Rhinolophus ferrumequinum: one gene and its partner. The protein of the gene in region 2 interacts with the protein of the main gene of each other region in a pairwise test. Links are inferred from orthologs where the notes say so. Each region holds a gene or a part of one and is shown on either strand. Other genes may lie near its edges.

Region 1 (16,879 bases), on a different chromosome or scaffold from region 2:
TAATGCTACACCAGACAACTTGAGGTGGAACATGGAAAACATTTTGTATTTTAAGGGTTGTATATTTATTTTAGGAGAAAAATACAACCAGTGCATCAAATTTGTGACTTCACAGGTATTATTGCTTAGAATCAGTGCTATTTGAGTTTTCCCAAAATGGCTTATGTATATGTAAGATTTATTCATTTTATTGTGTGTAAATTTTACCTCAAAAGAAAAAAGTAACAATAAAATATTGAGCTCTACTTAATAATATGCTTGTTGAAATGTATGCGGATGAAGTATAGTCATGCCTGAACTTGGAAATGCATCAAAAAATAAGGTGGATTGATGATGGATAGAGGGATGGATAGTCAGATGGATGTGCAATAAAGCAAATATAGTTAAAATGCCATAAACTCGACAATGTAAAATATAAAATATATTTGCTTTATGTACATATACAAAATATGTAAGATATAAACATAAAAATCAAATATTGTAGAATCTAGGTGGTGGGTATATACATGTTCACTACAATTCTTTCCACTTTTGTATACTATATGTCTTTAAATTTCCATAATAAAATATTGGAAAATAAACATAGTGCCTTGATTTCAAAAAAAATATTAAGCAAATTGTTGTCACGCAGCAGCCTAGCCAACTGTCCCCTCGTGCCTTTCCCTAAAGAAAGAAGTCTGTGAGACTGTGCCTTTCTGAGACTTTGTTTCATCCTTGTGCTTGCACCTCAGGTCTCTCTGCTTGGCCCCCAAAAGATGGTTTGTCAGCCAAAGACACGTAAGATTTCTCACGGGAGAGACAATCTAAGACAGGTGGAACCATGTGGGGACCCCCATGAGCTACCATGAAAAATGTGGAGACGGGCATTGTCTCTTTCCCCTGTTCAAAGAGAGCCACTGCCGACACTGGCTTTCCCTCTCACCTGATTGTGAGAGAAGTTAGGAGGGCGATAATGTCAGCTCTCCCTGTTTAGCTCAGCAACAAAGTTTTATCATGAGAGACTTGTCCCCAGGAGGGTACATACCTTAATTAAGCCATCATGGGACTTTCTACATCAGCTGCTTGCCTGCTGGGATAATTGGTTTGAGTCACCTTTGTGACATGATGTATGAGTTTCACAGACCGTGGATAAAATAATTTTTATTTCCTTGCATAATCAATAAAAGCCACCAGTCGGCCCGATTCTGCGCTCCAGTCTTTCAGGACTGCGAGATCCTTGGCCTCTGTGATTTAACTGCATTAAGTCTCTGTTTTTTTCTTTCTTAAAACTTAACTTAATGCCGCCCCTTCTCATTCCATCACTGCCCGTGTTGCGCTGGACGAGACAGCAAATAATAGCACAGGGGATAGGATGAATTGGCAAAAATCATGAAAGTAGTGGTGAATGATGTTTGGTAAACAGGGACTTAAGTGAAAGTACTTTGGCCAGACTCAGAATAGGAATGTGAACTGTCACAAGGGAAATGGATGAGGCAAAGAAAATTGAAAGGTGGGGGCCTCTGAGCCCTGGAGACAGCTGGGGAGAAGGGGCAAAGCTCTCACCTTTGTGATCAAAGCAGCTCACCAATTTAATCACCCATTCGTCTTTGCTGCCCCCACATACAGTCCGCTGAGGTAGGTGGAACCTGTGGAGGAAGGACCTGGTCTCAGCTTCTCTTTCACCCTGCACCCACATCTTCCCCAGCTCTTTCCTCATTCCAAAGACCTGAGGTCACCACCCAGAGTGATCCATATCAGAAGGGCCCCGGGGAATTCCAAGGTAGATGGAAAAGGGAAATGGCGTGGGGAACTGAGGCAAGATCACCTATAGAAGGGGTAGGTCCTCCCAGAGGGAGTTAAGATTTGATCAGAGGGGGTCCTGGAGTCACCTGGCAGGGAGAGAGTGCTCAGGCACTGCCCTCCAGGGTGGGTGAGATTACCTGATGAAGAAAGGACAGCGCTCATAACTTTTCAGTTGTTTTTGTAGATGTTCCATAATATGGGCCCTTGGAGGGGATCCGGAAGAATATGTTGTACTACAGGAACAACTTCCCGCGCTGCTGCCCTCGTTGCCATCCCCTGAGTGGAACAGAGGCGGTCAGCAGTCAGCACAGGTTCCCAGGCCAAGGGGCTCCCCTAGCTATTATTTAGCCTTCAACCCACTGCCCTATTACATACAGCCTCTCCTCGAGACCCCGAGACCCGGTGGTCTGACCCCCAGTCTCAACGCGTACATCACACACACACCCAAAGACGTTCATAGTCGTACCTGGCCCAGATGTTCCCCCAGCCTGATCCCAGCTCCAGGCAGCTAACCCTCCCCCTGCCCCGGCTGCCTTGGGGACGCTGGGACGGCTGGTCCACAGTTACTCAACTCAATCCCGCAGCCCTAACGGCTCTGCATACACACAATCTCTTTCCCAGATTGGAATATCTGGGTCCCGGCCCAACCCCTGACGAACCTTGCCGAGCCAGATACGCAAGCAGAAGAAGCAGGAGCGCGAGAGACTGGGGTCCCCAACCCCGCCTCATCTCGGGCCGCCTGGCCCGTCAGACTCCTGGACAGGCTCCGGAGGGTGACGTCCGCCTGGTTTATCTAAGGCTTCTTTCCCCGGCTCCACCTGAGATTCCTGGGGAGACAGCGGCCGTGGGAGTCCAATCCCCCCGAGAAGGAGGCGCGAGGTGACAGCGCCCTCCCTCCCTACCCGCGCTCGCAGCGTGTCGAACTGACAGCGTGATCAGTACGGTCCACCCCGCGCGGCCGCCAGCCTCAGGCGACTAGGAAACCCCCAGAGGCGGAGCTCTTTCGCCCGCTCTCCCGGGATGGGCCCGGTGCCTTCGTCGAGGAGTTAGCCAGAAATGTTTGAAGAAAGCGAAAGAAAACTCGGGTGGCGAGGCGAGGCAAGAGGGCAGCTACCCGACCGACCGATTCGGTGCGGTTCAGGGATGCCAGCCATGCCCACCCACCATCTCACCCATCCCAGGTCGGTCCTCGGGACCGGTGACATGGGTGAGCAGCTACCGCCGCTTCCTCCTCCAAGATGCTTTCACTTTCCCAGCCGGTGTCCTGGCTCAGCTGGGTTCAGTCACATGGCCAGGGTGATGCCCTCAGGAGAGTCCGCGCGCCCAGACGCACGGACGCTGGCCAGGGCCACCTGGGCACACGCTGCCGACTCGCGGGGACGTGGCCACCCGAGGGGCTGGCGGTGGGCTCGGCAGTCCTGACGTCACGACCGCCCCCTCCCCCAGGTATTTACCTTCGAAAAGTGGTGGCGGCTGCAGGTACCGGAGTAGTGTAGTGGAGAGGCCCGGAGGGGCTAGGTCTACTGGGGCTCACCGATCCAAGAAGAAGGGATGCTCTGGTTCCTAGTCCCTCCTCCCACACCCCACAGATGGATCCAAAATTCTTCGCTCCTTGCCAAATCCTTCCCGATAGGATTAGCCCTCCCTCACCTCTATCCCAATTCAAACCCTGCTTTTGAAAGTCTGAGCCTCAAATTTTGAGCCTCAAATACCATCTCACTCCTGAGTACATCTTTAACCCTAATAGCTCACTTTCAAGTCTAACCCCCATTCTCATCCCTGTACTCCCATCCTCAGGCCTGAAAACCCTTTTCTCAGCTCATCCATAGATCCCACTCTAGGTGACCCTCAAACTCACCCGCCCCTATTTTGTGACCCAGCCCCAGTTTTCACCACCACCCTCTCTCCCTGACCATATATCCCTTTCTCTGCTTAGTCTGGGCCCAGGCCCCGTGCCCCTGAAGACATGGAGTTTGTGTCTGGATACCGGGATGAGTTCCTTGATTTCGCTGCCCTCCTCTTTGGCTGGTTCCACAAGTTCGTGGCCGAGCGAGGGGCTGTGGGCGCCAGTGTTGAGGGCCGCTGGCGACAGCTGGAGGCCCAGATCAGAAGGCTGCCCCAGGACCCTGCCCTTTGGGTGCTCCATGTCCTGCCCAACCGTAGTGTGGGCATCAGCCTGGGGCATGGGACAGAGCCAGGCCCTGGACCAGGCCTGGGGGCTGCCAGGCTCCTGGGAGACGAACCTCTACTCCACCTGCGAGACCTAAGTCCCTATGTCAGCTTTGTCAGCCTGGAGGAAGGGGAGGAGGAGGAAGAGGAAGAGAATGGAGAGGAGGAGGGTGCAGGTACGGAGAAGGTAGAACCTGAAGAGGATGGGGAGCCAGCCCATAACAGCAGGGAGTCCCCCCAGGAATCAAATCCTCCAGGGGAGCCAGAGGAGGCTGAGCAGGAGGCAGGAGGTGGCGTGGATGGCTGCCGAGAGGACAGGGCAGAAGACGAAACAAGGCCTGAGAGGAGGAAGGGACAAAGCAGTGGTAAGAACCCAGGGCTGGCCCTGTCCTGTCCCCTGCTCAGGCATGCTCCCCCTCTGAAGCCCTGCTCTGCCACTCAGAACCCAGCTAGGAGTCACAAACAAACGTGTGGCTTCAGGCCAATCTGGCCGGAAAAGTTGTTTTCATTGACCCACAATTTTTTTTTTTCAATTTGAGCCAATATTTAAACATTGAAAGAAAAAAACTCCTGAAGTCTGGAGTTATACCTTCTCAAGAAAAATCTAAAGTTCTGACAGCAGACCCACATTTCTTCGGGGCAGCAAATGCTGGTACTATGCAGTACCTGTCCCCTTCATGTGAGGCGTACCTTCTTTACCTTTACTCACTTAGTTTACTTGCCTAGCCCCTGAAGGCATTTGAGTTTGGTACCCCTGACCTTGATCATCTTTCCCACCCCCACCCCTGACTTTTCCCTTCTTCACAGAAGCTGTCCCCCTGCACCTTTCCTGCCTCTTACTGGTGACAGATGAACATGGCACCCTCTTGGGCATTGACCTGCTAATTGATGGAGCCCAGGGGAGTGCAAGCAGAGGCTCAGGGACAGAGAATCTGGCTCCTCGGGCCTATGCTCTCCTCTGCCACAGCATGGCCTGCCCCATGGGCTCTGGAGACCCTCGAAGGCCCCGACAGCTTACTGTGGGAGACGCCCAGCTACATCGGTACAGAAATGTAGTATCTGAGGGTGGGGAGGCCTGGGGGGCCTGGACTTCTGAGTCCCTTAGCCTGATGCCCTCTCTACCCCCATTCAGAGAGCTGGAGAGTCTGATCCCAAGGCTGGGTGTGAAGTTAGCCAAGACCCCAATGCGGACATGGGGTCCCCAGCCAGACTTCACCTTTGCCTCTCTTCGAGCTCGAACCTGCCATGTTTGTCACCGGCACAGCTTTGAAGTGAAGCTGACACCTTGGTAAGCAGCCTGCAAAGATGGAGTGAAAGGGAGGAAGACCCCAACAGTCAGGCAAATAGAGAGAAAGCAGGTCGGTGGGGTACCCTGCATATAGACAGAGGAGGGAAATAAGACAAAGAAAACAACAAGCTGTTACAGGCAGAGAGAATACAGACAAAAAGACCAAGTGACATCTGGGCAGCTGCAGGGCAGATGGACAGCGGACAGGACTTAACACAGATTAACACTGAGTGCCTACCGCCCCCTGTGACCCTAGCCCCCAATGTAGTGCTGTCTTGTACTGTGGAGAGGCCTGTCTCCGGGCCGACTGGCGGCGATGCCCAGATGATGTGAGCCACCGATTTTGGTGCTCAAGGCTTGCAGCCTTCATGGAGCGGGCAGGAGAACTGGCAACTCTGCCTTTTACCTACACTGCAGGTACCACAAGGAGGTCAGGATGGGGAGGGGAAGCTGGGACCAGGTCTTTGCATCTGGGGCCTGGGTGTCTGGAAACAGGGTCCTGGGGTTGAAGGTTAAGTACTGGAGCTGGAGTCTGCATCCCTGGAAGAAGGGCCGGGTACTGGGTATTTGGTTTGAGGACAAACCCCTAGAGACAGGGTCTCCGGAGCTGAGAACTGAGCATCCAGGTCCCTGGGAGAGCTTGGGGGATTTGGGAGTAGGGATTTATACACTTTCTTCCCAGATCTACCACTAACCGGTGACCATAAACCTATCGCTTTATTTCTTAACACCTTCCTTTCTTCGTCTGTAAAATAGGGATACCAACAAAATGTCCCCAGGGAACTGTTATAAGAATTCTATAGGCTGGATGCCTACTATACTACAGACATTCAGAAACGTTAGCTCTCTCCCTGAGTAGACTCAGACCCAGGGTCCTTGGGAGAGGCTGAGGAGAGCTAAAGTTACTAGGCCCTCAACCACTCTCCTCCTCTAGAGGTGACCAGTGAAACCTTCAACAAGGAGGCCTTCCTGGCTGCGCGGGGCCTCACTCGTGGCTACTGGACCCAGATCAGCATGCTGATTCCAGGCCCTGGCACCCCCAGGCACCCCCGTGGTAGCACACCATCCCTCAGCCTTCTTCTCAATGGTGTGTGGGGCCTCTCTTCAGGCATGGGCCTCTCAGACTAGAGGAAAGGATGGGAGAGAAAAAAGTTGTCCGGGTCCCAGATAACCCCTCCATACACACACACTAAAACCCACTACCACCACCAGGGACATTTCCGTCCCTTCCCCAACCCTCTAAGAAGTCACCCCATCCAGAAACTCCATCCCTAAGAACTGCCCCATTCCTCTTGCTGCAGTTCCAGGTTCTCTCTCAGGGAAAACAGCAACTTTGGAAGGGAGAAGGGATGGGCCAGGTGTGGGTCTCCCTGATGCCAGGCTCCTCTTCCTTTCCTCCTCTCAGGAGATCCCTACCAGCTTCTCTCAGGAGATCCCTACCAGGAGGACGGGCCTGCCTTGATGCCCCCTGTGCCCCCAGATCCACCCAGGGGCCTCTTTGGTGAGCTGGAGGGTCCCTGAAGGAACTGGCGGTAGGGACCTGGACTGAAGAGCCAGCAGTCTGGGCGGCTGAGATAAAGAGGGCTGTCAGACTAAAGGGGTTGGGGTCCAGGCCTGGGGCCAGGTCCCCCACTAACCTATTCTCCCCAGGCTCATGGCAGGATTACTACACATGGCGGGGCCTCAGCTTGGACTCCCCCATGGCTGTGCTTCTCACCTACCCACTGACTGTGTACTACGTCATCACCCACCTGGTACCGCAGTCCTGTAAGGAGAGCGGAGGCAGCGGGAGGGGTGCCTGAAGCAGGGGGACAGGAAGCTGGTAGGGGACAGGAGGGAAGAGGGGGGAAACCATATCCTTAAACAGCTAGCTTCTCATCCAGTCCCTGAGCTCAACATCCAGAACAAACAGTCGCTGAAAATCCATGTGGTGGAGGCCGGGAAGGAATTTGACCTTGTTATGGTGTTTTGGGTAAGCCTCTCTAGACCTGAAGGTTGGGCATACGGGTGTGAAGGTGGATTGGGGGTGGGGAGGACCCAAATCTGTCCTCTCTATCCTTTAGGAGCTCTTGGTTTTGCTCCCCCACATGGCCCTAGAGCTGCAGTTTGTGGGTGATGGTCTGCCTCCTGAGAGTGACCAGCAGCACTTTACCCTGCAGAGGGTAAGGACTGAGGGGGGTCCCGCTTTTCAGCCCTGATCCTCTTCCTGTCCCGATTGGGACCTGCCCTTCTGCTCCCTCCTCCTCTTTCCCCTGTCTTGCCTCCTCCGGTACCCTAATTTCCAGTGGTTTCTCCTCCCCATTTGTGGCTCCCCAGGATGGCCCCGAAGTATCTGTCCGTCCTGGTTCTGGGGTATCAGCACGGCTCAGCTCTGGGACTAAGGAGAAGGGAGGCCGCAGGGATCTGCAGATCAAAGTGTCTGCAAGGCCCTACCACCTGCTCCAGGGGCCCAAGCCTGACTTGGTTATCGGTAAGAGCCTGGGGTAGGAGTGTGGCGAAGGTGGGAGAAGAAAACCATGGGAGCCCGCTTCTCCCTGCTCCCCCTCTATCCACAGGATTTAACTCTGGCTTTGGTCTCAAGGACACTTGGCTGAGCTCACTGCCCAGGTTACAGGTGGGTAATGAGGCAAAAGGGAACTTCTCCCCCCCTTCCCCTCCCTGTCCAGTCCCTCCTCTTTTCTTGAAAGACTCTGCTTCCCATTATCTGTTCCACAGATCTGGGGTGGCCCACAGGTTCTCTGGCCCTCTCCGTGTCTGCCTCCTGCCTCTCCCCCATTCTGGTCAATCTAGGTCCTCAGTTTTCAACCCAGTCTACGACCCTTCCTGCTCGGGATGTCCCTGGGGAAAGGAGCCTCTACGAGAGTGTCTGAGGCCGCCCCCTTGTCCCCCCCCCCCAGTCCCTCCGAGTGCCAGCCTTCTTCACCGAGAGTAGCGAGTATGGCTGTGTAATGGATGAGCAGACCATGGCAGTGGCCACAGGAGGGGGCACCAGCCCTCCACAGCCCAACCCCTTCCGCTCCCCTTTTCGCCTCAGAGCGGCCGACAATTGCATGCCCTGGTAAGGGCCCGCCACCCTCCCTATTTTCTTCCCTGACCCTTAACTTCTAACTCTCTGGCTGTGCATACTAAATGGCCCACCCCAACCCTCACCTCTGATCTCCTGGGACCCTCCTTGCCCCAGCCCTACCACCCACTTTCTTTGTCCCCACTACTCACCACCCCCCTGGTGGGTCTCGACAACCCTAACACACGCCTCTCTAGTTAGGTCCAGCTCACAAAATCTCTCCATCTCCTCGCCCATCCCCAAAAGACTCCTATCCTCTGGCTGGCTGAGCCCTAAGTCTAGCCCCACGCCTCGGAACTTGGGGAGCACAAAACCCGCAGTTGACCGTGCCACGCCCCCCTCAGGTACTGCAATGCCTTTGTCTTCCACCTGGTCTACAAACCTCCGCAAGGGAGTGGGGCTCGCCCAGCACCCGGGCCCGGGCTTCCAGTCCCAACTCCTGCCGCTCCTCCCGCCCCAGCCCGAAGGCGCCGAGGAGAAAAGAAACCTGGGCGGGGGCCCCGCCGGCGGAGGTGAGGGCTGAGAGATAGCAGTCCACCCTGCTCCAGCACCCTGCTCCAGCACTCCGAAAGAGACTCAAAACACCCAAGGCCGAGGGTGATGCGGGTTGGCAGAACACAGAAAAGATAAATAAAATTGCTTGTTTGAAACCACTGAGTCTAACGCTTATAATTGGGTCACTAATCTGGGAGGGGAGAAAAGGATTTAGAGATGACTTATTTTCCTCCAGCTTCTTTCAGTCCCTCAGTGGCTGTCCCCTTTTACTTGGGACTCTGACCCTCCTTGGTATTCCCAAGCTATTTCTAGTGGATATGTGAATAAGTCATTTTCAGACTTTAGTAACCCTCAGGGACCTGCCCTAAGGCAAAACAAAAAGCAGAAAGTAGCTTCTCACTGAGGGTCAAGGGAAGCATGGAACCTCCTAGGGGCACACAGACCCCTAGGTTTAGATTAAGTGAAAGGCCCCAGCCACCCAACTGTCCAAATTAGAAACCTGGAGGCCATCCCTCACTCCACCTTCTCTCATTACTCATATTCAGTGAAGAACCCACTCCTGCTGAGTCAGACTGCTAGAGTCACTCAGTCCACCAGTTTATGTCCAATCCCACTGCAAACTCCACCACAAACTCATCTCCACATTTCAGCCAGCATATTGCATCTAAAACAGACGTTTGAACACATTACACCCCCTCCTCAAACCCCTTCAGTGACTTTACTCTGCTTTTAAAGACCCCTTGAGTGTGGGCTGGAGTTAGTGACTCTCACTAAGTATAGAAAAGGAAAAATGGTGGAGAAACCTGACCTAAACCAAGTGATTAAGGTTAAATAAATAATAAGTCATGTTAATATAATGTGCTCCCTGACATGATGCAATGAGAAGGCCACATCCCCTCTGTAGTAGTCTTCTTAAAAATCCATTATCTCAGTCTAATTGTTGCAGTCACAAGGTCTGTGTGCTTGGCACATCAAATAATTAATATTCAATAGATGAGAGTTTGGAATAAAGAAAGGTTTTGTTTATTATGGAAATGGTGATAAGGAGATTTCTGGTTTTCTCAAATTCATTTTAAGAAAGCCCAGAATTCAGGCTTCTCTTATGTCAAGGGAAGGGAGAACACACAGTGCAAGACGTGCAATCCAAGGAGGGGGTGGGGGAAATCTCCAAATCTCTTTGTTCCCAGACAGTCTGACCAGAAGTTACTCAATCCTATGGCAGAACTCCTCCAGTTAAATAGAGTATCTAGAGATTCAAGCTGGAATTAAGGTGGAGTCAGGGAAAGAAGTGTTTTACCTGTTACATAATCATGAGAAAACATCAGAGAAATCCAAATTGTGGGACAGTCTACTAAATATCTAACCACTATTCTTCAGAAGCCCTAATTTCCAACAACAACAGCAACAGCAACGACAACAGCAGCCACATTCTTGGCAACTAGCAAGCAGCAGTGGGAGACACCTCAAAAGTCATGAGAGGCAAGGAAAGACCAACAAACTGACAGATTGAAAGAGACTAAGGAGACATGACTAAATACAATGCAGTTTCCTGGATTGGAGCCTGGAACAGAAAAAGGACATTAGTGGAAAAACAGGACAAATCTCAATAAAGTCTGCAGTTTAGCTAATGGTATTTATCAATGTTAATTTCTTAGTTTTGATAAATATGCCATGATTCTATAAGATGTAACATTAAAGAAAGATGGGTGAAGGATATATGGGAATGCTCTAATATCTTTGCAATTCATCTATAAATCTAAAATAATTTCAAAATAGAAAGTTAAAAATCATGTTCAGACGCCTTAGTATGGCTTATAAGGTGCCTCTTTCTCTTTCTGCCTTTCTCTTATTATCTAAGTTTCAAAATATTCACAAAAGCCCAGAAACTTCGTATAATGAGTCCTATGTACCCATCACTCAGTTCAACAATTATCAACATTTTCCCCGTTTTAGTATTATCAGTGATACTGCGATGTAATAAGAAATACAGAGCGTGCCAAAAAATGTATACACATTTCAGAAAGGAAAAAAACTATTACAATTGTAATACTCAATGTATACCAATAACAAAAGATGAATACGAGTCATGTTTGACTTCTGCAATTACAAGAGGTGCTCAGAGTGGTTACCATCAGTGTCCAGACACTTCTGATTATGGCGAACTTCTGCTCAAGCAACACTGACCAAAGTGTCCACTTACATACATTTTTTTCGGCATCGGGGTATATATTTGGTCTTTCCAGGTTTCTGGCACAAGAGCTTCTAAAACCCTTGTAATTTCCTAAGCGATAGGAGTGTCTTTTGTTATTCATAAACTCCTTTCAACAGTACCTGTGTTTATGCTAATGAGGTGCCTTAGGTAAGCCCTTATTTAACTTCAGGATGGGGGAGCTTGTTGCCAGAGGAACCAATCATGTGATTAGATGGCTGGAAATTTCAGCTCCACCTCTCAATCCCCTCTCCCCAAGAGGTGAAGGGCTGGAGATTGAGTTAATAACCAAGATTTAATCAGTCATGCCTCCATAATGGAACGGCCATAAAAACCTCTACCCACCTAATGGGGTTCAGAGAGCTTCACTTCAGTGAACACACTGAAGTGCTGAGGATGGTTGTAGGGAAGATGTTGAGGAAAATTTGACTTCATTAGCTGATGTGAGTTTTTGTCTGTTAATTTTTGTTCCTTTGTTTCCCCACATGAGAGACTACATGTGAGGTGTTGGTTAGCTTAGGTATAAGAAAATTTCTCCCTCATCTCGTTCCCAGCAGGAGAGATATAGGAGGATGTTGTTTTCTGTCTGTTTTGCCCACATCAGCAGATGATGTGGAGAAGTAACTAAGTTATATCAGAATGACGTGACAGGCACATTGCCAGGCTTTGGAAGGCCTTGGGCTGATGGTCCCAGGCGAGAACAGTAGGTGTTGTTTGTCCGAATGAACTGACCATTCAGCTGGACAAGCAATATTCTTATCACAGTAACTGCCGGATCCTCCCAGAACTGGCCATTTCCTGAGTGGGAGGCAGGAACAAGGAGCTTGGCTCTAAGGTACATCTGAAAAAATACATAAGAGAGACCTCAGTTGGCAGTATAATTTCGTCATTTTGTCATTGGTAAATCTTCATCATTCTAACATTTTGAAAACTCATATACAACATGCAGTTTACAATATGAGGAGATGCCCTGACTTCCACCTGCGGACCTGTGAGGTCTGGCTGGTTCCTGACCTCTCCAGTGTTGTTTCCCACAGTTAGCCTTCTTGAGAACTGGTTAGCATTTAGGAAATTTGTATGCAGCTTGCAGCTTACAGCATGTGGGGACAGAGCCCCAGAGAGCAGTTTCCAGGCTCTCGGCCTCACGTGGAGGGGTGCTGGCTCGGGTAGTAGACGGCCGTCAGCTGTGGCTGGTTGGCCGTCAGCTGTAACCAGTGAGCCATGGGCCACTAATATAACTGCCATGGCTTTGCTAGCAGAAAATGGGGCCTAGCAAGAAGATGGTGGCTGAGCCTGCAAGCGGCGCAGTGAGGGTTGCGAACAGTGTGGCTCCTGCTTCTTGTGTCTCCAACCCAGCCACCAGCGAGAATATAGTGGTATGACTCCCCTACCTATGGCTCCGTGGGTGTTCCTGTTTGGCCTCACCATGTCCTGCGTTCTTATGTGGGGAGCGGGAGCAGAGACCCCGCAGGCTGTCCCGCATGACACAGCATCAGGAGACACCCTAACTTCCAACAACAGCAATGGCAACAGCAGCAACATTCTTGAGAAATTGTTAGCATTTTAGAAATTTGTATGCAGTTCACAGCATCAGAAAATGCCCTAATTTCCAACAACAACAGCAACATTCTTGGGAATTAGCAAGCCGCAGTGGGAGACACCTCACCTTTCCCAGCTGCAGACCTGTCAAGGTTTTGATTCCTGACCTTTCCACTGTTGTTTTTCCTAAGGTTTGTTGAGCTTTTGGCGTCTACTCTAATAGTTGCTATCCTATAGCGTTTTTTACTGCTTTTGGATACTCCTTATTGATGTTATTTGTGTATTTAGCCAAGTGATTTTTGATCAGTAGTAAACATATGTTGGGATCTCTTAAACCTGTATGTATGTGTACTCTTTTGACATGACTTTGTTATCAATGTCATGTTTAGTCTTAACCACCTTTACTTTCTGTCATTAGCACATTCCATTAATTGCCTTTGTCTTTTGCTATTGCCTTTTACTAAATAAATTGATTAGATATTGCTAAATAAATCAATTAGCCCCTCTCTGGTGTGCTCCTCCCTTTTCTTTTCCCCACTCGTCATTACAATGGTGCATGCACCTAGAGAGAGCATGGAAGCTCCACACCACCCTTGCTCCCTATACCTTGCCCTATGCATCTCTTCCATTTGGTTCTTTCTGAGTTGTATCCCATGTGTGTGTATATATATATATATATATATATATATATATATATATATATATATATATATAAACAGTAATAGTGATACCGTGCTAAGGTCCAGCTGCATGCTGCTTGAAAAAGTTAAAAATCGAGAGACAAGTTTGGTGGAAAGAAAAGTAGGTTTATTCAGAATTCCGGCATCTGGGAAGATGGCAGACTCCTGCCCAAAGGCCACCTCCCCGTTCCTAGACCGGGCAGAAGGTTTTATAGATTCACAAGAAGAACAAAGGAAAGGGAGAGTCAGTCAGGCAGGTCTAGAGGGCTGACATCCTTCCTGGGGTCTGGTCTGTTTTAGGATAATGTTGTCTCTGGACTCCAGACTTGACTGGACCACCACGGCCTAGGGCTTTATGTGTATTCTGGTGTATGGTCACCTGAAGATTAAGAAATTGCCCTTTCCAGGTTAGGATTCGGTTGATTAATTGGATTAATGAAGTATAGGCAGTCTTGAAAAGGGGGAAAAACCAGAGTTCTTTCATTAATCAGTGAGGGGAGAAACAAAGAGAAAGTAGCTGAATATCAGGGTGGATCTATCTGCCCACTGGCTAGGTTTAATTACAGGTGGCTAGATAGCAGGCTATGTGGTGAGTTAAACTGCAAACTAGCTAAGTCTAACTACAGTATTGGTTCCCAAATAGTAAACTATTTTCCTGAGTTCTGTGAGCTATTTTAATAAATTATCGAACCTGAAGGGAGGCGGGCGTCATTGTAACTCCCAATTTATAGTCGGTTGTTCAGAATGGTTGTTCAGAATTACGGGAGGTTGAGGATTTAGGATTGCATCTGAAGTGGGGGCAGTCTTGTAGGATTAAACTCACTCTGTGTATTTATTGTCAGAATTGATTAAATTGTGGGACACTCAGGTGGTGTCTGGGTAGTTGAAGAATTGGTTGCTATGGGGAAAAAATAACCCATAAATTTGGTGTAAGACGTGCTGGTAGTAAAAACGGCTAATAGCTGATGTCAGAAGTGAGATTTGCTAGACTGATACTGGCTCAGAAATAAGTGGTTTGGGAAGAGAAAGAATGAAAGGGTGGGAAATAAGGAACCTTTGGTTCCTGGGTGGTCACATGGTCACCACGGTATGGAACAGCAGTGGTACTGCAATCAGTTACTGCAAATAAAAGTTACAAATGTAATTTGGAATTGGATCCAACTCCCAGGAGTCGGTTCACTAGTAAGGAAATGCAAACTACTAAGGAAAAAATGCAACATACAACCCCTTGGTTATTATCTGTAATAACTAAAATGCAATTAAAAAATAGTTCTGGTTTGGACTTTCATACTAGACTAAGTTCAGATTTTGATCAGTCTAAGCTTTGGCCACTTGCCTCAAAGCTGTCCACAAAATGAAAAATGATGCCGGGACAACAGAAAGTACCTCTAAGGCCTTTGGTCACCAAGGAGGTAGTCAACGTGGGAGGAGGGCAAAACAAAGAAAGCACTGAAACCAGGGGATATAGTGTGGAGGAGCTGCTTCATTTTGTATCATCAGCTTCCTGAAGAACCTTTACATTTTAAAATGGACTAATTTAGGAGCAATAGCTTTGGTGTTAAATGCTGCAGGGTAGAAGGGCATGTTTGGGTTAATACAGGACCTACAGATCCCTATTAAATAATCAGAGATGGCTGTAAACAATCCAGACACACACAGGAGGATATTTCTGAGACATGTTCCTGAAGCTATCGAGGGCCTCACTAGGAGTCACCTCATTAGCGTAAAGGCAGGTAGGGTTGAAAGGGGCTTACTATGAATAACAAAAGATACTCTTCTCATCCCTATCACTTAAGATATTCCAAGGGTTTTAGAAGCACTTGTGCCAGGAAACTGGGACGAAGACCAAATATGTATCATCGTTATATGACAATATCACACACTCCCAGCTTTTTTCCAGAGTGTTTTAAAGCACGCCCCAGACAACAGCCCTCTCACTTATGTGCATCTATAACTAATAAGGGCTTTTAAAAAATATATAACTGTAACCAGAGGCCAAACAAGTCCGGGGCTCGTGTTGCCTGCACTGCTCAGCCAATAGACTGACACAGGAGTTGGGCCGTGGAATAAGCGTTTATTATCAGAGCACTGGTGGTCCGAGAAGGCAGCGGGTTAACGCCTTAGGAAAACTGTCCTACATTCTCAGACCGGCTGGGGGTATTTAAGGGAAAATCAAGGCACTCTCCCAGAGGCTGCATGACATCCCGCAGGTCTGTTCTCCTTTCATGATGCCTCCCTCTGTCGTCGGATCTCTTGTGGCACCAGTGGTCCGGGAACAGTGGGGGAGTAACCTGGGAAAATGTTAAGCAATAGAGTTTATAATTAGCAAGCATCTACAAGGGTGATCTTCTAAGATAAGGAGAGGGAACAGAGCATCCCCGAGGCATTCTGAGCTCAGCTACAGGGGTGTGAAGCCTACCTGGTGGGGGCAGGGCAGCCCAGAGGTATTCTGAGTACAGGGGGCCCAGCTGGGCCCTGCTTCAGAACCACCATGCCATTATCATATCCAGTAAAATTAATCATTATTCTTTAATATCTTATAATACCTAGTTCATATTTAAATTTATTTAATTTCGCAAAGAAGTCTTTTACAGCTGGTTTGTTCCAATCAACAAATAAATAAGATCCACATATGACTTTTGGTTGTTTTGTCTCTTAAGTCGCTTTTATTCTATAACAGACCAATCTCCCTTTTCTTCATTTCTTCCTTTCTTTATTCCTTTCTTTCTTTCGTTCTTCCTTGCTTCCTTCCTTCCTTTCTTTTTTCAGTGGCAAAATTTTATTAAAAATTGAAATGGGGGACATTAGTTTATGGTTCCACATGTAAGGAGCTTAGAAGTTGCCATTCTGTCCTAACCAACCTCCCTTTTCTTTTCTTTTCTTTTCTTTTCCTTTTCTTTTCTTTTCTTTTCTTTCCTTTTCTTTTCTTTTCTTTTCTTTTCTTTGCCACTGATTCTATGCCAATAAGAAACTGAATTGTTTGTCCTATAGAGTGTTCCTCATTATGGAACACTGATTACTTCCTCGGAGTGTTTTTTAATTTGTTCATTTATCATCTTTAGTTCCTGTAAACTGGTAGTTAGATCTAGATGACAAGGCTCTTTTAATGTGGTCCCTGCCAACCTCCACAGGCTGATCTCATGTCACTTCCCGCCCCCGCTCAGCCAGACGCCACTAAATGAATACACAACATTCTCTCATTGTGGAACTTCCCCTTTTGCTCAACTAATTCCTTCTCAGCATCGCGTCACTTCCTTAAAGAGAGAGGACTTTCTCGACCCCCAAGATAAGGGTAGAGCCCCTGCTAAGTCCTCCTGGAGCCTTGTAAGTTCCCTACAGCCATAAAAGGGAAGTCTAGGTCCCTGGTGGACAGAGGGGAAATGAAACTTTTCACCACTCACTTGGCCAGAAAATAACCTTTCCCTAAATTCCTGCCATCTACTGCATAAAAGTATGAAAGGATATGATTCTCCCCGAGTAGTGGGATTACTAAAAATGTGTTTATTCATTTTGTTTAGCTGTACTGCTCATTTTTCCTCCATGAACACATAGTACATTTGTAATAAAAATGTTTAATTCAGATAACGGTCCCTACCTCCATGAAGCTTACTTACAGTCCATAGCAGGGGTCAGTAACTATGGCCTCTGGCCAA
Region 2 (15,027 bases):
GTTCCTAGTTTGCTAAGAGATTTTTTTTTTTTTAAAGCAGGAATGGATGTTTGATTTTGTCAAATGCCTTTTCTGCATCTATTGAAATGCTCATATGTTTTAAATTTTTTTTAGTTTCATAATGTGGTGAATTACAGTAATTGTTTTTTTCTCAATGTTACACCAAACTTGCATTCTTGGCTTTAAAAAGGAAAGAGATTACTGGGGTGGCCTGATGGCTCAGTTGGTTAGAGCGTGAGCTCTCAACAACAAGGTTGCCTTTCAATTCCCCCATGGGATGGTGGGCTGCGCCCCCCGGCAACTAAAGATTGAAAACGGCAACTGGACTTGGAGCCGAGCTGTGCCCTCCACAACTAGATTGAAGGACAACGACTTGGAGCTGATGGGCTCTGGAGAAACACACTGTTCCCCAATATTCCCCAATTTAAAAAAAAAAATGAAAAAAAATGTTTTACAAAAAGAAAAGAGGTTATACAATTTGAAGGTGATACAGTAAAGATGGAATTTCCTCCTCCTCAGAATTCACCCAAGCAAAAGTGAAAAATACAAAAGTGAAAATGAGAAACAGAAATGTAAATACCGTATCTGATGACCAGGAGAGAGCAGAAATCCCAAACAATGAAATACACCTATTTCATTGTTTGGGTTGCATGGTTTCATATAGGCTGAAAAAAGCAGTGGAATCACTGCTTGGTACAAATCACTTTGGAAATTATGGGGCAATATTTACCAAAGTTGTACGTTTACATATCCAACAATTTCACTTAAAGAGAAATTAGTGCATCTGTCTACCAAAAGACTTAAACAAGAATATTCAAAGAAGTTTTATTCATAATAGCCAAAACTTGGAAACAAATCAAATGTCCATCAACAGGAGAGTGAATAAATTGTCTTCCCGTACAAAGGAATAATACACACTAATAAAGGAGAACAAATTACTGATAGATGCAATAATATGGATAAATCTCACAGATGTAACCTTGGAGAAAAAACAGACACGAGTACAATTTTGTTCTGTACAATTTCAAGAATAGGCCAATCTATGGTGATAGAAGTCAGAATGGTGGTTACGTTTTTGGGAGGTAGTTGATTGGAAAAGGGCATAATGGAATTTTTTGGGATGATATAAAAGTTCTATATCTTGATCTGGGTGGTAGTTACATGCACACACACACATACATAAAAATTCATTGAGCTGTACTCAAGATTTGTGTATTTTACTAGTATGTAAAATGTATGTGGGAATTATATGTCAATTAAAAGGGAACCAGAATGGGTTTTTTTCAGGAATGGTTTAATGTTAAAAGACACTTAAAAATGTAATTCACTGTATAAACAGAATGAAGGAGAGTAACCAAATTGTCCTCGTAGTAGATGCAGAAAAAACAATTTTATCATTCCACATCCATTTGTGATCAAGACTGTTAGCAAACTAGGAATGGAAAGGAATTTCCTTAACTGGATAAAGGTTAACTACCAAAACCCTACAGGAATCTACATGCTTCCTGAACGGTGCAACCTCAGAAGCAGTTCCTTTTAAATCAGGATCAAGTTAAAGGTGCCTATGAACAGCAATTCCATATCCCATTGTCTGGGAACCCCATCTTGCACAGGCAGAAGAGGAACATGAATGGAGGCCCTAACCTGAGAACATCTGGCTTTTAGATCCATGAGGTGCCCTTCCGTGTAGAGGGCTTCACAACTTTCATATATGTTACAAATGTTACAAGTATGCAGTTTCACATATCAATTTAAAAAATTGTTTTTTGGTTAGACATCTGAAGACACGGCCAGAAAATATGGTAGAGGCAACAGATCTTAAATCAAATTGTTTTATTTTTAAGATGGAAAATATTTGAAAGGTAAGCAAGCGGTGTAAAGGAAGCAAGATGCATAATATAGATGGAGATGTTCCACAGAAAAAAACAAAACAAAAATCTTGTCCAAAGTTGTTTGTATCCAAAAAGACAGCTCTCTACCCCAGGAGGAATGGAGTGATAGACTAGGGCTGCTGGGCTGGGAGTCCGAGACAGTGAAGCCGGCCAGACTTCAGCCTACCCACCCAATTCAACCAGCCTTCCTTCCCCAGGGTTCTCAGGAGCTCTGATCTCCATGCCTCTGGGTTTCTGGCTGGAGGATCCAGACTGGAGATTTGGGGTAAGGGGCGAGGAGTCAACAAAGCTGCTACTGTAATGACTGGGCCAGAGATGCCCCTCCCTGCTACCAGGATCCACTCTCGCCCTCAGTGCCAGTGTCCCGGGCTTTGGGATACCTCTCTCCTCCTCTCCCTTCCCACACCCGATCCAAGCCGGACTCTTCGTTACCGGAGCTGGAGATCTCCGCCCGGGGCGCGCCCTGCCCCGTTGGTCGCAGGGTCCGCAAGCTGCGGTTCCCGGGCTGTTGATTTTCCAGGAGGACGAGCTGCCTGTGTGGGTGCCCGCAGCCCTCGGATCCCCGGCTAAGCTTCGGAGTTCCTTCCCAGCCCCCATGGTCCTCGACGCCCTCTAACCGTCGCCCTGGCCCCTCTTCCGCGCAGCTGAACCCAGGGGACTGCGCAATGACCCGCAACCTGCACCTGCTCCTGGGGCGACTTCCCGCGCAGCGCAGGCGCCTCCTCCTCCCCCCAGGACCCGGTCTCCCCCTTTTCCTGTGTGGCCACGGACTGTTGAGTGAGGAGAGCCGCTCCCTTCACCACCCAGCTGGTACATAGCCACCCCCGTTCCGCTACACACACGACTCTGAGAGCGCTCCTCCTTCCAGGGATCCCTCTCCTCCCCACAGGCTGGCCACTGACAACTGTGTCTGAAGTGTGCCCCCTCCTGACGCGCCCCCTGACACCGCCGTCTCGGCCCCTCCCGCGTTCTGGCCGCTCCTACTCGTTGCTCCACGTTCCTTGGGGCAGAGGAAAGTCCTACCTGACGCTGCCGCTCCTGCGGGCCCCCAGGATACGAGTATGCCCTTGTGGAGCCCTTCTCTGCTTTCTTACGTGCAAGGCCCCTTGCGGCGGATCTGATTATTTTTCTGGCCAGGCCACACCGGTCACTGGATCTACCTCCGCCCCCCCAGGGCAGGCGGTGACCGGGGGGGGGGGGGGGGGAGGAGCACAGACAAACATGACCCAAGCGCCCAGGTCACTCAGGCCAATGGAACAGCTCTCCCTTCTTGGCTCAAACCGCAAAGGCTTAGAACGCCTACATTCTAACAGGTTCATTCTCCCCGGGCTTGCATTTTTAAACGTATTAACTATAAATGGATGACTTGGTCTACATTTAAAGGAATTCCAGGACTTAATGTTCACGATATGTTTCTTTTGTCTCTGCAAGGTCCCTCAATTTATTCCCTTTTATCTATATACTCCACTCCCATTTGCCTGCCCCTAGTGTTGGCCATTCCATCATTCCATTCTGTTTATCTTTTGTTTCTATGTGCTCTTGGCAAAAAAAAAAAAAAAAAAAAAAAAAAAAAAAAAAAAAAAAAAGTATTGTTTTGCAGGCATGGCATACATGCGGACATGGCATACATTTTAAATTTGTGTTAAAAGAATTGTATTATTTCTCATTCAGTTTCTTTTCAGTCAACGCTAGGATTTCAAGATCAATCTGTACAGCTCCTGCCCATTCTAACTGCTGCCTGCTCTCCACGGTGCATACCCACCATGTTTCACTTTTCTCATCTCCTGCCACCACCAATAACAGTGCAATCATCATTCTCAAATGCGTCCCTTCTTATGCAGCACTTCTCCAACGGTGAGCACATTTATCACCTGGGATCTTGTTAAAATGCAGACTCTGATTCTACAGGCCTGGGGTGGGGCTTGAGTCTCTGCATTTCTAACCAGCTCCCAGGTGAGGCCTATGCTACTGGTCCTGGGACCACAGGCCCTTTCTGAGCCTCTGTGAGAACTCATTTTGAGTTGCTGGGTCACAGGGTATGGGCGGATTTAATATGATAAGTATTGCCCACCTGCTCTCCAGTTTGGCTGCACTATCTTACCCCACACCAGAAGAGCAGGAGAGTGGAAGGTGTATATTTATGGGGGGAAAGAAAGAAGGCCTTCTGCATTCTCCTGCCCACATCCTGTTCCCCACTGTGTCTGGTCTGGGCCAAAATCTCCTCTTTCCCTTGACTGGAATGGCCCCGAGGCTCCGGAGTGATGTAGCTGGCCAGCAGTGCACAGCTAAGTCAACGATAGACCCAAGACGGGCATCCAGGCTTTATGTCTGGCACAAGTTTTAAGAACAAGCATGGGTCTTCCGTTAAGTTATCTTTACTCCATCGCTTTCCCTTTAGTCGCCTGTTAGGTGGACTAGGACTGAAATTACCTGGCCTTGCCACTGGCAAGTGGCTAGTGGCTAGCCTGAACGTGACTTCTCATCCCTAAAATGGAATAGTAACAGCACAGCTACAGTTTGTGGAGTGAGGAGACAGTCCAGGAACTTCACCCACATGCCAGAAGCCCCACAGGAGCCCTAAGACGGTTGTTTTTGCCAGTGTTTTACCCACGAGAAAAATGAAATTCAGGAAGGCTAAGCAATTTCCACCAAGGCCATGGAGCTAGAAAGTCACAACGCTGGGATTCAAATCCAGCCTCAGCTAATACAGCAGAACCCATGCTAACTATGAGGCTATACCACCAGCATGTGCTGCCTTGCCCTCACTACCAGGCCATATTTCAGGGATAATCACAAGGAGATGGGAAGGAAGGACTGTGCTTCGGGTTTCAGGCCCTGATGCTAAAGGCATCTAACCAGTAGCATGCAGGGGTATGAAACTCCACAGCAAATGGGTTTTGGCAAAAATAAACTCGGGTTCTAGGGGCTGGTCCCTAGGACTTGAGTATTTAAGTGGCAGGAGATGGCACTGTGGGTCTAAGGTTTTATTTAGGAGGAGGGTTTTTAAGGTTAGATGTACAGTGGGGTTAGGACTGGGTGGGAGTTGGGGAGGGTCATGAATTAGGTGGGGGTCAGAATGCAATAGGGGTCAGGTGGGTAGGTCTTAGCTGTGAGTAAAGCTGTCTATCCTGTGCCTTACTTAGTAATAGCTGATCACTCACTGTTTTGTTTGGAGGGTCAGCAGATGTGCAAACAGCCAGTACCCTGGGCATTGAGGATGCCACCTTCCAAGACCCTCCTGGTGCTGTGAGCAGCTTGCCAGGTCCATTTTGGAAACCATGGACTATGCTTTTCCCACTCACACAGCTGTGCAAGCATCTCCAGGCCCCAGTCCCAAGCATTTCACAATCAGAAGAGTCTGACATCTACGTATTTTGAGATTTCATGATACAAAACCTTTTACATCTTGTCCACACTCATCCACTGTTTACCAATGTAATTATATCTATGACGGAGCATTTCTCTGAATGCCTTGAGAAACTTCTTGATCTCTCTATGGCCTTCGGGGTCAAAAGACCTTTGAGTCTACAGAATGTCCTTAGAGTTCAGCACAATATCTTACAGATCTATGGTTTTTACAAAGTATTCCACACATAGATATTGTCTTTGACTCAATTCCACAAGGTTAGCACAGGCTCAAAAGAATTAATTAGCTGAGGCCACACATTGTGTAGGTGGGTGAAACGGGACTTCTTTGTTTTCCAGAACAGACCTCACGAAACTTAAAGAGTAGGTACTCTCTGAGAACCTCATTATACTGTTTGGCCCATTTCCCAGATTTGGGGATGTAGACTAAGGCAGGAGCTAGGACGTCTAGGGAGTGGGGAAATGCCTGGGCAGAAAGATCTGGGAGGTGAACTAGTTGAGATCTCATGGGGCTTGTGGTCAGTCCTCTGCCAGCTAGCTTTCTGTCAGTGGGCCCTTTCTAGAGCCTGGGCAAGTGGAAAGAGGCGGTTGGTGGGAGGAATGGCAAGTCCAGGAGTACCTAGGTAGAAGTTCTCAATGAGTCTGAAGCTGAGACAGCTGCAAGAAAAAGATGCCGCTAGTTGCTAAGGGGGCCCCAGTGGTGTCACCACACCCACATGGGAGTTGTTGGTGGCTTGGCTAACTATGCCCCTAGTTAAGCCTTCTTCCCTGTCCCCTCTCCTCAAAGCCCCTGGCCCTCCACACCCAGTACCTGTAGCATGGGCTTGAGGGAGGTGCCCAGAGGTCAGGCCAGTCTACCCTGCCTGCTCCAGCAACAGCACGCATGCCACAACCAGTGCTAGGGACCGGGGGTCTGAGCCTGCTAAGGCAGGAAGGCCCTGATCCCACTGCCCTCCCTCTCCCCTGGGCCTCAGGCCCTAGGCCAGGGCTCAACAGACACAAGCAGCGGGATGGGGTTGCCCTTCTATTGGTCCAAATCCTGAGCGTGGCCTAGGTGAGACATGGAGGTGAGGAGGCCCACGAGGCTTAGCAGCGTGGAAAACAGCAGCAGGAAGGAGGCGGTGAAGAGCAGGGCCGGGAGGGCACTGAGCACCAGCAGCAGGACGGCGGGCAGCAGATGTCGCCACGCTGCAGCCACCACAGGCCACAGGGAGCTCAGCAGATGGGAACCCGTGGTGAAGAGCGCGTGACATAGCATCAGTGCCAGCAGCAGGTAGAGGATCCCTTCCAGACCACAAAGCACACGCTGCAGTGGTTGCCGCCAGCTGGATGTGGCCCACCAGTGGGTCCAGCTCTGGGGCACGTGGGATGCACACCAGCGCAGCCAACTCTGTCGCGAGACCCAGGCCGACCAGGGCACCGCCCGCTGCGGCCCCTCACCGGCCCCGATGGCATCTGTCTCCATTTGCGACTGCTGCATCATGGCTGGTGCACCTGGGGAGAGGCCAGGCCAGCTGCAGAAGCAGCCTTGGATATGTCTGGGACCTCAGGGCAGGTGTGGGTGCAGGAGTCAGGTGGGCACCAGTGTGGGTGGGGTGGGGCTTTGAGCTGGGGACTGGGTCTTACCTCTGGGCAAAGCCACCTAAGTCATGTTGCTTCTTGTAGCTCCCAGGACGGCCTGGCAGCCAGAGATGAGTCCCCTCTTTCCCTCATCTCCACCCTCCCAGAGGAGCCCATTGTGACCTGGTCTAGGGTGGGGTCCAGCCAAGAAAGGAGCCATTGCAGGGTGCGAGCCTCATGCAAGCCCTTCTCTGTGGACCCTTCAGGCTGGCAGAGGAGCCTGGGGAGTCAACAGACGTAGTTTGTCATGCTTTCTTGTGGGAAGCCCTCTTGGATATCTGTCTGTTCCCTGCTGGCTGATAGCCAGTCACACTCTGCTCTCTCGCAAGTCTTTCTCTCTGGACCTTCATTCTTTAGAACCACAGAGGAGGCCAGAATGGCCAACCCCAATCTGCAGGTTCTGAGATGGCTATCACTTCCCGCACTGGGCAACCTGTGCCTTATCTCACCTTCTATGGCTGCTTTCACATTGTGGGGCTGGAGGTCCCCTGGGGACAATGGGTTACCCTCCCACCCTGCCAAGCCCACGATGGAGAAAAAGAGGAATGAGGCAGCACTATGGCCAGTGTATTTCTGGAGGGCACTCAGGCCCAAGGATGGAGGCAGAAAGCCAGGCCAAGCAGGGCCAAAGGCACCCCTCAGGCTCCCAGGAACAGCCCCAGGCCCAGGAGCAGCAGGAGCAGAGCTTCCTGGAGGCAGAGTTGTCCTGTGACTGCCACCATCGGCAGGAGTAGAGCCTCCTGCCATCTGGGACCCTCACCAGCCCCCTGACTCAGGCCCCCTGTGAGAAGTGTGTGCTGTGGCCCGGTGGATCTGAGGGCCTGTGGAGAAAGAGGGCAGCAGCCGGGCTTTGGGAGATTGACCACTTCCTCACCTGCCCATGCCTGCCCATCTGCCAGGCTGCTGCCCACTTACCTGTGGAGTAGGTCGAAGGCCAGGAAGCTGACTAGTAGCAGCAGCAGCAGCAAGGCTGGGCCAGCCGAGGAAAAGACTGCCCAAATTGTCAACCCCAGTGCCCCCAGCCCTAGGACACTGTCCATGAGCTGGGCTGGACTAGGGTCCAAAGAGGACATACATGGACCCACTGGATGACCCGATCCCTCTCCAGCACCCAGGCCCCTGGGAGGGACAGGGATAGGATAAGCAAGGGCTTTGGGCCTGAGTGAGCAGAGCTGGGTCATGGAGGGAGGCGGAGGTTACAGGAAGGGGCTTTGTTTCCTGGGAGGGAGTATGGGGGTGGGGTGGGAAAGTGGGAAGGGGTGGAAATCACTCAAGGGTGAGCTCAGGGAGTGGGGAATGGGGCTCATGGGGAATCTCCCCCTCCCCACACGCTCACCCACCCAGCCCTTCTCACCTCCTCCCACTTAGGTCAGCCATTCTGGGCCTGACAGCTGGGGCATTGTGACCTCTTGCCAGGTGGATCCCTGAGGTAGGGAGTGGCTGCTGCTGGTTCTGGCCTCATAAGCAGCTGGGGCTTAGCCAGAGGAGGTCAGTGATTTCTGAGAACCAAGACTCAATCTCTTGCCTCTGCTAATTCTCTGCCCTAGGGCCCTCCCTTGGGGATCTGTGTTGCCAAGAAGGCATCTAACCTCATCACCACATGGGCAGCTGACCAAAGGAGGAAGGGCTGCTTTCTTTTTCCTGCAGGTTCCCAGAGCTGTGTGTCCAGGGACAAGTTATTCAATCTTCCTGTCTAATGCTCTCTTCCCTGAGAGTAGGGTGATGCCTGTGAGCTCTTGTGGGGGATTTTTTTCAGTATTACAGTCCTGGGATACAGAGATAGACTCTGTCAGGAAGCAAACCTGAGGCTTTCTGTGGCTGGGCTCCCATGTGACCTGCTACATAGGAATGGGGCAAGACGGGGCTATTTAGGCATTCTAAGTAGTACCATGGTTTGTGGGAGGTGTTCCAGATACTGGGATTCCAGAAATGGCATACAGGATATGAACGTAAGAGGGCTACTACATAGTAACCCCCAAACTGGAGGTTAAGGTTACCCTCTGAGAATGAAATTCAGGAAAATGAACATGTAATGAAGGGATTGGTCGTCTGGGAAAGAAACCTACCCCCACTGATAGTCTGTAACTGGGTGATGGTTCCAGAAGTTCCAGCACATCTTAGTTTAGTGCCTTGAGAGGCAAGAATGGAAATGGGTCATAAATGAGAGAACTTAATCCTTGTCCACATATCATATTTTGAAGGAAAACTGATGGGGGCAGGTAGTGAAGACAGTGGCCACACAGCTGCTAGGAGAGGAGGAGACAGAGTGAGAATCAGGCTGCATATCTATCTCCAGTGGGCCTTGTCCAAAGACTCAAGTTTGGCAACGTTGATATCTTTGGTGGTGATGGGCTCAACAGCCCATGAAGCTAATGCCACTGACCCTTGGGACCATTCTTTGATTACTTTGCTCTGGCTCTTGCCAAAGCAATAAAGAAATGCCCACAAAATTCTGAGGGAAAATGATTTCCAACCTAGAAACGTATATATGCCCAAATGCATACCAAGTGTGAGGGCAGAATAAAGACATTCTAAACCATACAAGGTCTCAAAATTTTGACCTTGCATGCACTGTTTCTTAGAAAGTTACTGGAGGATGTACTTCAGGAAAACAAATAATTAAGAAAGAAGAGAATATGGGTTTTAAGAAATGAGGCCAAACACAGGAGAGGTATGATGAGAAGGGCCTGGGATGTCAGCTGTGCTCCCAGGTGGGAAAACAAGCAACTCATCCTGGAATCAAAAGATAGATGCTTTTGGATCACTTCATCATCCCCAGCAGGGATGTCTCCAGAAGAAAATAAAATGATTATCTGCTGTTTTTAGACATATTCAAAATAAATGTTCAGTTCTGTTGGAAACTTAGAATTGTATTAGCAATTGGTGCCTTTAAGACCCAGCAAATGATAAAACAAAGTAATTACTTTGTAATTATTACAAATAAATATTTACAAAGAAAGAATTACAAAGTAATTATTACACAAAGTTGAACAATAATATTTACATGGTCATAATATAAGCACTGAATATAGAATCCAGTGATTTAGCTCTTTTGGGAAAATGGAAGGAGGGGAAGTGTATGTTTGTGTATTTGGGTATGTATGGGTAGAAGGGTGATAAGAAAGCTAAATCCTTAATTCCACATTAGGAATTCCACAGATAATGTCTAAACATCAAGAAATAGCAATAGAAGCGTAGAAACAGCAATAGAAGCATAGAAGTAAGTACAAGGAAAAATAACAAAAAGCATTTAAAATGGTTGACTTGGGAATGGAGAAGCATAGAAAAGTCTATTACAAGCCTAAATGTAATTTACCCCTAAAATTATATTCCATAGTATTTTGATAAAAATGATTTAGTTAAAAATAAAAAAGCAAATCAATGTAGGTTCATATTGTTGAGATCAAGAATATACCCTCCCAGGACGAGTGAAATGCCAATTTCCTAATGTTATGTGGATGTACTCTTGTGGCTTGAGATAACATTTCCAGTGACAGCACCAAACACCATCAAACTCAGAAAGCTGTGAATCTTATGCATTTTAAGTGGAGGCTTTAAACCTCCAACTAGAGCTTCTCAACCTTCAATGTGCACATGACTTCCCTGGGATGGAACTGGTCAGGGATTCTGCATTTCTAACAAGCTCCCAGGGGATGCTGATGCTGTTGGTCCTTGGCCACTCTTTGAGAATGAGCTCTAAAAGACATTGATGTACAAAAGAGAGACAGCTGGGGAAGATGATGGTGAAGGGAGGATGGACATGTGGGAGGTACCTCCCTGTGCATCTAGGTGCCACGGGAGTCCCCATCAATACTCACCTGCATCATAAGGAAAACACATAGTGGGTAGTGAGTTCTGTCTCAGCACCAGGAACAGGAGGTTAGGACGCACAGGCAGGTAGTGGATTCCACTAGTACTTCTCTATTTGTGAAGCCAGACACATAGCCTCCTTTCTTTTCTTGATTTGTTTTATTCCATCCATGTATGTGAGAACAAGTGCACCGTGTTAAGCTGTTTTCTCCACCTTTAATTCATCAGATTAATTTCAGGGCCCCTTGGAACCACATATTATCTCATTTCATCATCATAGCAATCCTGGGAGGAAGATACTATCGTTCCCATTTTACAGATAAGGAAACAGAGGCTCAAAGAGGTGAAATTACTATCAAAGGTTACACAAACAAAATAAATGATGGCAGATGTGAAATTAAGCCAGTGTGGCGCCAAAGTCATGTATCCTCTCCACCCCCAACCACTGGACCACACCGGGGAGCGGCAGGATAGGCCCAGCCCATCCCTAGTGACTCAGTGGTGCTTTGCAATGTATCTTCACCCTTGTGAGGCCACAAAAGGTTCTCCACCTGGCTCCTGGGGCTAGAGATCTGGCTGTGCAAGTACCTACCCGGGAGCAAACCTGCTGCTGCACCCTGGGAGCTGCTACCTCCAGAACCTGCTTCTGGGCTTGGTGGCTTTGCAGCCCCAGGTACCCAGTGGTAAGGGCCAAAGGCAATAACCAGGCTGGGAGCACAGAGGGGTGTGAGGGGATGAGGAAGTTATAAAGGGATGTGAGAAGGTGCTGAGAGGTTCAGGGGGCTGAGAAGGGTGCAAAGAGGTCCTAAAGGTTGCCATAGGGCAGAGAGGCAAGGGGTACAAAGGGATGAGATGAGAAGAGGGAGGGGGGCACAGGGTACACAAAAGGTATGAACGTCCTGCCAATCCCAGCCCCGAAGGGATTGGTGGAAGGTGGCCAACATGCTCCACCCTGCCAGTCCCTTTAGTCTTCCAGTTGATGGTCTGCCATCTCCTCTCCCGCAAAACCTGGTGCTGTTGGGAAGGCTCAACTTCCCTCCAGCCCTGCTTGGTCCCTTCTAACCTCGAATATATTATACACATACTTTTTGAGCACTGACTAGGGACCAGGCACTTTTCTAGGCCCTGAAGTGTAGCTGTGAACGTTTGGGTGCAAAAGCCTCTTTTGGAGGGTTACTTACCTCCTGCTGTGTGGGGGGAGGGCACAGTAAGCACATAACAAATAAAACAAGATAGTCTCAGATAGTTTTGATTGACTTGAAGACAATACAATAAAACAGGGTGAGAGGATAGAGTGTGTGTAGAAAGGATGGAGCTTACTTCCATCAGAATGGTCAGGAAAGGCCCTTGGAAGCAGATGACATGGAAAGGCAATCTAAATAATGATGCAAACTTGGTGAGCCAGTGCAAAGGCCCTGAGGCTGAATGGGGCTGGTGCATTGGAGGAACAGCTAGAATGTCTGTGTGGCTGGAGGGCTAAGAGCTAGAGGTGAGCATGGGGAAATGAAGTGGGAAGGGTGTGGGTGGAGAACCTTGTCATGAAGGGCCTTGCAAGTGAGCCCACTAGGGTTTTAAGCCAGGAGGAACTTGACAGGATTTAGCTGCTGTGTGAGATCCGACTTGGAGGGGGTGGGAGTCTCAGGAGGCTGAGATGTCTTAACCCCCCTACCCCTATCTCCCCTTCATACCCCTCTGCAAAACTTGGATGAGCTTGGGGGCCAGAGACAGGGAAGTGGCCAGATTGGGCTTTGGCAGGAGGCGGCAGCCCACAGGATCTGTTCAGACCAGCTTCTAGCTCCACAGGAGCCTGTCCTGGCCTTCCACCTCCCCCACCCTCCCCTTGCAAAGCCTTGCCCTTCGGTACCTTCTTCATTCTGCCCCTGACTCGGTCCTGTGCTTTAGGGAGCCTCGGCTTTGGCGCGCCTACCTTGAGTTTTTCTAAGTTCCCCTCAGGCACCTGGGACCTAACGGTCCAGGAGCGGCGCTCCAAGGCAAAAGAGGGACCCTCGTGGGCCCTGTCCCCGTTACTCCCTTATCGGGAGCTCTCTACTCAGAGCGCGTGGGGTGGACCAGATGCCTGAGGAGCTCCAGGCTGCGCGGTGATGAAGTCGCCCGAGTTGGTGGTGGTCTCAGTTCCAGGAGCGCGGGGCAGTATTTCTTTCCAGAGATCCTGCGAGATGGTATTGCCAGAATGGCGCTGAGACGCTGACTTTGGGTGATTCAAACTGTTTATATAGATAATGGCCCTTGGAAAAATACTTGCTCACGGCTCGGCGTCCTTCAGAGGATTCCTGGCCACCTCTGGACATCGCTTCTCACACGGGGATGGCAGTATCTCCCTGCGAGTTCCTTTCAAGGTCCAAGCATTGGCCAGAGGCGCATATTGGATGCATTTCCTTTCTTCTGGGGAGGCGACCCTAGCATGGGGGAGTCAAAGAGGTCTCCAGGGGATGGGCAGGGTCCTGCGCTCTGGCTCTGGAATCTCGGGATGAGTGTAGTCCCGCGGACAGAGACCCAGGGCTGCCGGTCCCGGGAGGAGAATGAGGCAGGGGCGGTAAGAAAGGGTAGAGGGAAGGACGCCCATCAAGCCTGAGCCCATCCACCCCGCCCCAGCCCGCTGGGTATCGGCTGGGGCTTCTCTTCTTGGATTATGTAACACCAGAACGTGGCAGCCGGGTGAGCAAGGAGGAGGGGAGGGGAGGGAAAAGAGAGAGGGGAGGCGGGGCTGGGGGGGTGGTGGTGGGACGAGCCGCCTCTGGCTGGGCCCCTTGGGCTGTCTGTCAGACAGATTCCTGGAGGGCCAGCCCTCCTCCCATTCCCCAGCCCACCCCCGCCTCAGTTTCCCCGCATTCTTTCTGTCCTACCCGCCTAGGTAGATAGCCTCTGGCTCTAGTTGGATGTCCCTCTTGGGTTGTGGTTTCCTCCCCGAGAGTTCCCAGCTTTGCTGTCTTGGCCATGTCGATAGCCGTTCTGAGCCTCAGTTTACCAGTTTGTAAAATGAGGTTGGATTGAGAGGCCACGTGTAAAAAGCCTGGAATAGTGCATGGCACAAAGTAGGTGCCCACTACAGGTCAAAGCGCCTCACTGAAATCCAGGCTGCCGATGGGCTTTGCGGACTGTGAAGGGCGGCCCAGGAGGGAGGCCAGAGAGGGAGGGGCATGGACGGTGAGTGCGGTGACCTTTGGCAGCCCGTCGGGGGTCCGCCAGGCTAGCTCCGCCCCCGCCCTCCCCTCCCGGGTCCGAGGCCAGCGAGCGGGCTGTGGGCGGGCCGGAGGCCTCAGGGGGCGTGCGGCTGCGGCAGGAAGGGGCGGGGGGCTCCGGAGCAGTCGGCAGGAAGAGACGAACCCACCGACCGCCGGGGCCCCGCACATTCCCACCTGTGGACCTCGCCATGTGGGGTCTCCTGCTCGCCTTGGCCGCTTTCGCGCCTGCCGTCGATCAGGGTCTGGGGGCGCCCGGCAGCTCTCTGCTGGGCCTTGCGCCGTCTGCGACCACCGAGGCCCGGATCTCGACCCCGGCCCCGGCCCCGGCCCCGCGTAGCAGCCCGGCACAGCCGCCGGCGGGAAAGGATAACGGTGATCTCCCGGCTCTAGGGCCCACCTCTCCCTCAGGTCGGTTGCCCCACCACCCGTCCCCTGTGTGACGACCCTTCCCCAACACACACACACACACACACACACACACACACACCACACACACACACTCTTTCCGCCTTGTGCAATGGATGCTGACTCAGCAGTCCCAGTTCCAGGCCAGACCAAGTAAGTCAGCAGTCCTGGGCCCGAAGCCAGTGAGATGCTGCCTCTTCCAGCCCCAAACCTTCCCTTTTCACAGATGAGGAAACTGAGACCAGAGCCAGGAGGAGGGGAGAAAGAGGTGTGGACAAAGGCATTGACGCTAAGAGATTCAGAGCAAGACTGTGTAGGAGAGAGCTTGAGGGCAGGGGCTAGAAGGAAGGAACTAGAGAAAGAGAGGGAGAGCACTGAGGCTGCCTGGAGGAATGGGGTACTGTCTAGGGAGGGATGGCAGTCAAGGAGGGCTTCTCAGAGGAGGCAAATGAACAATGTTGTTGCTCACAAAGAGTGAGTATCTCTGAATCAGAAGAGCTGAAGAGGAGGGCAGCCAAGAAGAAAACCATATGTTTAAAGGCACAGGGGCACCAGACACGTTCTGGAGGTTCCTTTGGAGATTGGGTGGGTGGGAAACTGTGGCATCTGCCCTGTGCAAGGCCCTGTGCTGAAGAGTGAGCAGGACACAGGCCCAGCCCTGGGAGGCTTGAGCACCCCGGCAGACATGGGTTTGAGGACAGGATATCACAGCCCAGAGGGCAGACGCAATA

Evidence for each region.
Region 1: the proteins of TMEM239 (region 2) and CXCL16 interact in a two-hybrid assay, tested with the Homo sapiens proteins (2 studies listed by BioGRID). The two-hybrid records come from large-scale screens. The link is inferred for Rhinolophus ferrumequinum from reciprocal best matches to the Homo sapiens genes TMEM239 and CXCL16.

Annotation. Positions count from the first base shown.
Region 1 is NC_046304.1:12,481,236-12,498,114, forward strand, and holds the start of CXCL16 (C-X-C motif chemokine 16), read right to left. Parts: upstream 3,084-16,879; 5' UTR 2,955-3,083; exon of another isoform or gene 2,610-2,954; 5' UTR 2,512-2,609; coding exon 2,442-2,511; intron 2,059-2,441; coding exon 1,920-2,058; intron 1,626-1,919; coding exon 1,543-1,625; intron 1-1,542. Other genes in the region: ZMYND15 (zinc finger MYND domain-containing protein 15), read left to right, coding at 3,749-4,316, 4,759-4,993, 5,084-5,239, 5,496-5,656, 6,174-6,326, 6,645-6,740, 6,890-7,006, 7,123-7,211 and 5 more. UniProt on the Homo sapiens protein: Acts as a scavenger receptor on macrophages, which specifically binds to OxLDL (oxidized low density lipoprotein), suggesting that it may be involved in pathophysiology such as atherogenesis. Induces a strong chemotactic response. Induces calcium mobilization.
Region 2 is NC_046306.1:24,996,136-25,011,162, reverse strand, and holds TMEM239 (transmembrane protein 239), read right to left. Parts: upstream 7,229-15,027; coding exon 7,192-7,228; intron 6,967-7,191; coding exon 6,898-6,966; intron 6,804-6,897; coding exon 6,283-6,803; 3' UTR 6,161-6,282; downstream 1-6,160. Other genes in the region: C23H20orf141 (uncharacterized protein C20orf141 homolog), read right to left, coding at 7,517-7,691, 7,794-8,059; CPXM1 (probable carboxypeptidase X1), read left to right, coding at 14,080-14,299.